2 linked regions of the Oryza sativa Japonica Group genome follow. The protein of the gene in region 1 interacts with the protein of each later gene in a pairwise test. Links are inferred from orthologs where the notes say so. Each region holds a gene or a part of one and is shown in the gene's direction. Other genes may lie near its edges.

Region 1 (4,287 bases):
CACCCACGTGGCCTAACTCCCTCGGGGGGGGGGGGGGGGCGGGCCCGAGGGTGATACGGCTGCCCTTCTCTTTGTCTCCCCAAGGGGTCGGGCCGCTCCCGTCTCGGCCCCGAGGGCCGAAGCGCCCCGACCCCTTGTGGGTTTTGCGCCACGTATATGGGGTAGGTGAGCATGGCGGGGCTCACCTAACCACATTTATTGCAGTTTTGACGAGCGCGTCACGCCGCCTGTATCGCAGTACAGCACGCTCGTTTATCCGGTCTGTGACCAGTCACAGACCGGTCAGATCATGGGTTAGGTGGCGACAGGCGGTCTGACGCACGCCTCGCCCCATCCCGTCAGGACGAGAGCCTCCAAGCACTCGTCCCTAGCTGGAGCCGGCGTGTTAGCTCCTGGAGATGGCACGTTGGTTCCGGTCAGATATATGCCAGGCTTCATCCTAACCATTACAGGCAAGATATTGTATGAAGAAGGGCGAACATGCAGATTGTTAAACTGACACGTGGTGGACAAGAATGACCGATTTGTGACCGGTCTGACAATGGTCAAGTCATCAGCAGACAGCCATCTTCCCACGTCGCGCCTGCCTCCGGCGGAAGTGGAGGTAGGTATGGGCCGTCCCATCAGAAGGTCATTCGGACGGCGGCGATGCAAATCTCCGTCTGTTAATGAAGAGAAGTCAAATTGGAAGAAAGAGAGGGGGAGATGGTGCATGTGGTATCCCCTTAAGATATAAAAGGAGGACCTTGCCCACTTAGAGGGGGGATGATTGGACTTTTCCAGATTGGGAACCCAGAACAAGAGAGAGGCTGGCTCATACTTTGTAGCTCCTTCATACACAGATCCTCCAAAACACAGGAGTAGGGTATTACGCTTCTCAGCGGCCCGAACCTGTATACATCGCCGGCGTCTTGTGTGTTTCCTGTCTCGCGAACCTTCCACAAATTGGGAGCTTAGAGTCTCACCCAGGGTCCCCGGCCGAACCGGCAAAAGGGGACCAGCGCGGTCTCCCGGTGAGGAGCCCCACGCTCCGTCAGTCGCTATGGGCTACTCGCCTATTGGGCTTGCAAGCACACGCTGACGTACTTTGCGCCATCAAGATCGGACGGTCCTCGATCATGACAAAGCCCCGTCAGCATATGCATCACATCGCACGGTCCTGATCGCGCCACGGCAGCACGTTCGTCATCGCCACGGTCCGTGCCGGGGCCCGGGCCTTCGCGGGCCCCGCAGCGAATCACCGTAGGTGGGGCCCAGCCCAGGACCAGGGAGATGACCACACGCCGCGCAGGATCGGACGGCCGCGATCTCGCGGGGACCGCCGCGTGTCCCGTGGGGGAGGGACTATATATGGGCCGGAAACGAGACGGCTTGCACTGCCTGTGCACTCGGCGCCCTCTCGTCGTATATGGGGGAAGGATCCGACGGCCCAGCGCGACGCCCGCAGTGTTCTCTCCCTCCCCACCTCGATCTCTCTCTCTCGCTTCGTGGCTCTTCTCTCCTGCGACTGCGAGAGGAATCTCCCACTCAGTCCCAGATTGTTTCTGTGCGGCGACAGCGTCGCTGCGTAGCTTCTGATATCTTTGCCGCCGCTGTGTTTGGCGCCATTGACGCAGCCGCATCCACTCCTCGACCAGACAAGGGAGGCCTTTCTCTCTGTGCTATCTCCAAAGGCTTCTGAGTCGATTCAGAGGCAGAGCTCGAAACCGAAAGGGCGGCGAAGGTGAAGCCGACCGGCGGGCTGCAAATTGCGCTCGTTCGCTCACCGGCGACGTGGAGGAGAAGGTAATGGTGGTGACGGCGACGCACGCAACCAGCTTGCTTGATGCTTCGTCTTATCTTTGCTTTGCTTTTTTTTTGTGTGTGTGTGTGTTGAGTTACACTTTTTCTATGTTTTGTTTTCTCGTCTTGCATGCCGTTTCTTACCCTGTTCTGTTCACCAGAAAGTCAAAGTCCGTTTATCTTGGTGTCAAAAATAAAAGGCCGTTTCTCCTTGCATCCCGCTCTCGCTTCTAGGCGTATACATATTTATTTTGGCACATTTTTGTCTGCATCATTTCAGGCGCCGGAGAGAGAGGAAGAGGAGGCGGAGCAACCCGGTCAGCGCGCGCGTAGGTGGTTTGGGTACGCACACTGTTTACACGGCGAGCAAACTCGGAGGAGAGAGAGAGCTGTGGCTAACGTAGCTATCTGGGGGCCGTCAGTTACCTGTAAGCATCATCTCATCACTCTCACTGTGCCTCTCATTTCTCTCTCCCTCTACAGCAACATTAATTAATTACTAGCTGATACTACTACTGTACAAAAGAAATTACTACCACCGGCCAAAAGAAAACACACACAATACCGTGTTTAAGGTTATCACGTCGTGTTTCTATTAAAAAAGCGCAAAAGATAATCAGCAAAAACCCTACCGGGCTCCACAATGCAGTCACTCGATAGCCGGTCGCTTTAGCCGGGGCCCATATTTTTCTCGGTAGGGATGGAGCAGGAGGAAAAAAAAAATAAAGTCCAGGCAGTACGTTGATCTGGGGGAGGGCGTGGGGCCCCAGCTGCAGTGACTGTAGCTGATACACATCTGAGCGGCTCCCTGCCTCGTCCACCGAGCTACTGCTGTTGGTGTCGTTTGGAGTCTTCCCCATACGCCCCTGCCTACCTCGCGTGGGTAGCTGCGCCTCATCTGCATGAACACTGTGCACAACACATACACAAACGGGCGGAGCTAGCTAGCCATAGCACACTGGTGGTTAATAAATTTCCATGTGCGCGTAAACATCAGAAGCTTCCCTGCCGCAATGTAGCTGACCGTATTTTACTACTACAACCTGCTTTTCAGTTTTGATTTACTAGTAGTATATGTGTGTGTGTCATGTGGCATGGCGATTAAAGAATCTCTGTGCCTGTGCCCGTCGATCGATCTGCTTTGCCCCGCGTAGCGTTTCTTCCACTGTGTTAGAGCAGCCTGCGAATGCATGCCATGCATGCAGGAGTAGCTGTGAACGACTGTGATGCTGCCATTGGCATGGGTCTTGCTTGCTTTGTTATGCTGGTGCTATACTTTTTTGTCGCTGCAGGCTCCAGTGCTCCACTGCACCAGCTAGCCAGCCAGCTTGCCCCGTTTTGACGCCGGTGGCGAATTGAAGCTCCAGAGACCAGAGTCCCTAGCTATAGCTATCTCTCGTACATACGCATGCTTGCATTGCTCTCTGTTGCTCAACGAGCCGGAAGGACAGCTCCTCCGACGCACACGCATGCGCACGTGTGCGTGGTCACGGACCGGCCGGATAGCTCTGTGCTCGCATAGTGTACCGGATGTCGTGTTCGCGTGCTTACATGTGAGATGCAAGGATGGCATGGCACGTCTGGTCCAAATGGTGTGTGGTACTAGAATGGCGTCACACACCGGCTTGGAAACCGCTTTACGTTATTACAGTACATTGTAGATTGTGGCTATGGCTAGAGGATACTAGACTGATAGTGTCACTGTTGATACTTGATAGGAGTACGTACTTTCGGCGTGTATTTATTTTGGTCGTACATACGTGTGCGTGGATACACGAAATCTCGCACTCGTTTAATTATCATGGAAATGTGTACTATACATGTACTAAGTGTACTATTGCCATGCGAACAACGACAAAGTTTGACCATCTCATGGATAGACATTCTATCACATGCATGCATGCAACTGTAGCCGTGGGCTGTAGTGTCTACATGACGGCATGTCTGATCAAACTTGATCTTTCGTTACAGCGGCTTCAATTCTGATAGATAGCCGTACTGTGGTAGTACTATATATGTAACGCTAATGCACACACTTTTGCAGTTCGATACACAAGGTGAGATTGTGGGGGGAGCGATTGACTACTGATTGATCCGTCTCGTCGTCGTCGATCGAGGAGAGGGAGGCAGATAGGGAGAGGGGGTCAGAGAAGATGCTGGCATGCATCGCGTGCTCCTCCAAGGAAGGCGGGGAGGACGGGTCCCGTGGCGCGGCCACGCCTCACGGCAGAGATGCCGTCAAGTCCCTCACCTCACAGGTACCCGTCTGTCCCTTCTTCTTCTTCGTCTTGATCTAAACTTCTTCTCGTACATGCTACTCCTGGATCGAATTTACACCTGCTACTTTGCCATCAGTACTGCAGTATATAGAGTGTACTACTACATGCTACTAGCTCTGTCTGTATGAGGAAGAGATAGTAGTAGCAGCAGTTAATAGACGAGGGGGAGACCAGGGGTGGCAGCCAAGATGGACGACCACTGAGACTGTACAGTAGTATACCACTA
Region 2 (4,017 bases), on another chromosome or scaffold:
GAATCCTTGCGTCCACAAATATTACACATGGATACTTATGGTTGGATTTTAGTTAAGTCAGCAAAATTGTCACTGGACTTTATCTCTTGTAGTACTCCCTCCATACTCACAAAGGAAGTCGTTTAGGACATTGACACGGTCTTCAAAACACAACTTTGACTTCTTGTTTCTATAAAAATATTCATTGAAAAGTGATATATGTATACTTTTATAAAAGTATTTTTAAGACAAATCCATTCATATAATTTTTATATTTTCAAACTCAACAACTTGAGAGTTATTCATGATTTATATTTTCAATGTTTGACTTAAACATTATCCTAAACGACTTACTTTACGAGTATGAAGGGAATATGTGTTAAGCGAGTGTACTCGTAAGCATATGTGCTCGTCTGAATTGAAAAATTAAAAATCTGTCGTAGGATGTTTTCTAAACTGAAAAAAAAATAATATATATTTTAATTATTTGCAGCAGCACAACGTGATAATAGCAGGTTGTATGGCGCATTAGCCTTGGACTGATCGGTCCTGGCCGAAGTGCAACGCTGTAAACGCAGAGCCCAGTGCACCGCAACGGAGGAAAACCGATTGGCCGCCGCCGGTGTCGTCCGCCCGCGCGGGGGACTCACGTACATCGTTGTACCGCGCCCGCCGCACTCCTTCGCTCGCGCGACGTCAACCACACACAATTTCTTTTAGAGAAAATATAAAAAAGCAATCCACTGCTCCCTCCATCACATAATATAAGGGATTTTAAGTTTTTGTTTGCACTGTTTTATCCCTCGTCTTTTATTCAAAAAATTTTAAAATTATTTTTTTTTTACTTACTTTATTATCCAAAGTACTTTAAGCATAACTTATCATTTTTTATATTTGCACAAATTTTTTAATAAGACGAGTGGTCAAACAGTACAAGCAAAAACTCAAAATCATTTATATTATGGGACGGAGGGAGTACAAACTAGTCTAAGCTAATAAAAAAATTTTGAGACACATGACACGTACTTTAAGAAATGAAAACCAGCGGCACGTCCCTAATCTCACTAAAGTCTGGTTGAAAATCCACCTACATGTGCGTAATATTCGTGGACACCAGGATTTAAACCATATTGGGTGAAGTCATGCACTCACAACTCCACCACCACACCACGGGTGCTTCCCCAAATTGAACATAAATTTTAATTAGCTTTTAACAATTCTTAGGGTGAAATGATCTTTTATAGCGGTTAACAAGTACCGCTAACGGAAACCTACCGGCAGTGATATGTCTAGCACAAAGACACTTGTACAATATCATTATCGGAAAGATGGGTTTGTCAATGATTCTTCTTCGATTGATACGCTTGTCGATGATATTTTTAAAATGTTCTCTTTTTTAATACTTCCTCTGTTCCATATTATATCTAAATTTATTAATATTCATATGAATATGAGCAATGTAAAAAAAAGTATGATAATATGAAACGGAAGGAGTATAAGGAATTAGATCGCGCGAGCGACGCGGACACACTCATGCCGCTCCCGCTTGCCCACTGACGCGAAGCGTGCTCGAGTGCTCGACCAGCCTTCGTCTCCGCTCGCCTCGCCGTCGCCGTACGTCGCCCTCCGCGACAGCCTGTGCTCCCGTGGCTCCACCCGCTCGCCTCCTCCTACAAATCCTCCATCCCGCCTCACCTCACCTCACCTCACCTCTCACTCACTCACACGCGATAAAAGAGTTTGCAACAAGTGGTCTCCTTCCATGGACAGGTACAGGGTCGCGCCGCGACCTGTCTACCTCTCCGCCGCCGCCGCCGCCGGCGGTGATCACGGCGATGGGCCCCGCCGCCTGCCACGCGGTGTCGCCGGCGGCGGTGGCGCCGAGCTCGACATCTTCTCCGCCGAGCGCTACTTCAACGCAGACGACGTCGTCAAGAAGGAGGAGTACCGCGACGAGGAGCAGCCGCGGCAGGAGGTGGCCGTGGATGCGGCCAGCCAGAGCGGACGCACCGTGGCGTGCTCATCGGAGGCGAGCTGGACCAGCCGCTCCGGGCTGCTCTCCGGCCACGCCCAGTCCGCCGCGTCGGCGGGTGCTGCTGCTAAGCTCCAGATGGGTGGTGCCAATGGCGGCGGCGGCGCCGCCGCCGCCGCCGCAAGCGCTCACCGCGGCAAGAAGCCCGGCTCCGGCCAGCGGTGGGGGCTGTTCTCTCGTGACTGCCCCTGCGCCGGCAGGAAGGCGGTCACCGTCGACGTCGCCTCCGAGCCGAGGAGCCCGGCGACGCCGAGAACCCACGCGAGGTTTGAAAACAGCCATGTCGTCGCCGACAGCACGATCTTTAAAGCGAATGCGCCGCCGCCGCCACCGCCATGCGAGGAGGAGCCCGTCAAGATGAAGATATCTCCGGGGAGCAGCACGTTTCCTCCTCCCCTCGCGAACAGTATCTTCGCGGCGGCGCCGAACAGGGGCGGCGGCGGCGGTGGCGCGGCGCCGTTCGCCGCTTTCCCGGCGCCGGACATTGTTGGCCGCCGCGTCGTGAGCTCCGGCGGCTTCACGTTCCCGGTGGCCGTCGGCGCGGCGAAGGTGGTGAGCACCGTTGGCGACGAGCCGCCGCGCGAGTCGCTCGAGGTGTTCCGGCCCATAGACGAGGAGTCGGTGCTCGCCGACCCACCGGCCGATCACCTGGCGACGGTGGGCGGCCGCGGAGGAGGAGGAGGAGGCCTCGCCGCAGGCTTCGCGCGCGCCCCAGGGGTGGCGGCGGTGGCGACCGACGAGGAGGCAATGAGCGACGCGAGCTCGGACCTGTTCGACCTCGAGAGCTTCGCGGCGTCGTCGTCGTTCCCGACCACGTGCCGCGGGCGCAGCAGCCGGCGCAACTCGCGGGAGGACGACGACGACGACGAAGACCTTCCGTACGGCGCCGCGGCCGCGGCCGCCGCCGCCGTCGAGCCGGCGCTGAGCGAGTGCATGTACGCGCCGAGCGAGGTGAGCGTGGTGTGGAGCGTGGCCACGGCGGAGGGCGGCGCGTTCGACGCGGCCAGCGTCGCCAACTTCTCCAGCGCGGCGTCCGCCTGCTGCGTCGAGGAGTTCAGCTTCGTCCCGCCGCCTGACTCCGCCGCCACCGCTGGCGGCGGCGGCCACGAGGGCTTCACCGCCGCCATGTCGCGCAGCGCCGCCCGCAAGAAAGGCGGCGGGTTCTTGAGCAGCTGCCGGTGCGAGAAGGCTGTGAGCGTCGGGCCAACTCCCGTCCGGATGGTCCGGCCGGAGGTGAACGTCAAGACCACCGGCGGCGGCGCGGCACGGTATCACCCCGGCCGCGTCCGCATGCCGGTCCGGACGTGAACTCGCCGCCGGTGAGCACCGGCGACGTACATACGTTCAACGAGCGGGAGAACGCGAAGGCGTGCGCTATGGTTTAATTAGTTTTGATGTGTAAATTTGTGAGTGAGAAATGTGTTGGTGTAAGGAATGCACATTTGTGTTGTAATAAACCAAGACTTTTAATTTCTCTATACAGATTTCGTACGTACATATCCCTTCAGACCCTTCACAGAGAGGGGAGGGGGGGAGGGGGGGTTCGCTCCGCCTCTCCCTATACGCTTCTTCCCTTCCTCCTCTCCTTCTTCTCTTCCTACAACATATTAAACCATAAAAAAATTTTAAAAAACAAATAGTTAGAAAAATTTATGTATAGAAATACTATATATAAAAAATTTGAATTCAAATTCAAATTCAAATTCAAATTCAAATTTGAATTAAAATTTAAATTTGAATTCAATTTGAATTTGAATCGGGTATGTAAACTTTTGACTTATAAACATTGGATCTATAAACTTTAGGTGTATAAACTTTAGATGTATATAGAAAATATTTGAATTCAAATTTAAATTTGAATCGGATATAATTCAAATTCAAATTTGAATCGGGTATATAAACTTTAGTTCTATAAACTTTAGGTCTATAAACTTAACTTTAGGTGTATAAACTTTAGATGTATAGAAATAATATATATGAAAAATATTTGAATTCAAATTCAAATT

Evidence for each region.
Region 2: the proteins of putative protein Brevis radix-like 3 (region 1) and protein PHYTOCHROME KINASE SUBSTRATE 4 interact in binary tests that used the Arabidopsis thaliana proteins (3 or more experiments, as listed by UniProt). The link is inferred for Oryza sativa Japonica Group from reciprocal best matches to the Arabidopsis thaliana genes BRX and PKS4.

Annotation. Positions count from the first base shown.
Region 1 is NC_089038.1:30,808,914-30,813,200, reverse strand, and holds the start of putative protein Brevis radix-like 3, read left to right. Parts: upstream 1-1,378; 5' UTR 1,379-1,785; intron 1,786-2,062; 5' UTR 2,063-2,210; intron 2,211-3,826; 5' UTR 3,827-3,935; coding exon 3,936-4,040; intron 4,041-4,287. UniProt on the Arabidopsis thaliana protein: Acts as a regulator of cell proliferation and elongation in the root and shoot. Regulates roots architecture and primary root protophloem differentiation.
Region 2 is NC_089035.1:9,006,472-9,010,488, forward strand, and holds protein PHYTOCHROME KINASE SUBSTRATE 4, read left to right. Parts: upstream 1-1,409; 5' UTR 1,410-1,741; coding exon 1,742-3,319; 3' UTR 3,320-3,506; downstream 3,507-4,017. UniProt on the Arabidopsis thaliana protein: Modulates phytochrome-mediated control of hypocotyl growth orientation. Involved in PHYA and PHYB signaling. Acts as an inhibitor of asymmetric growth. Not involved in the control of leaf flattening.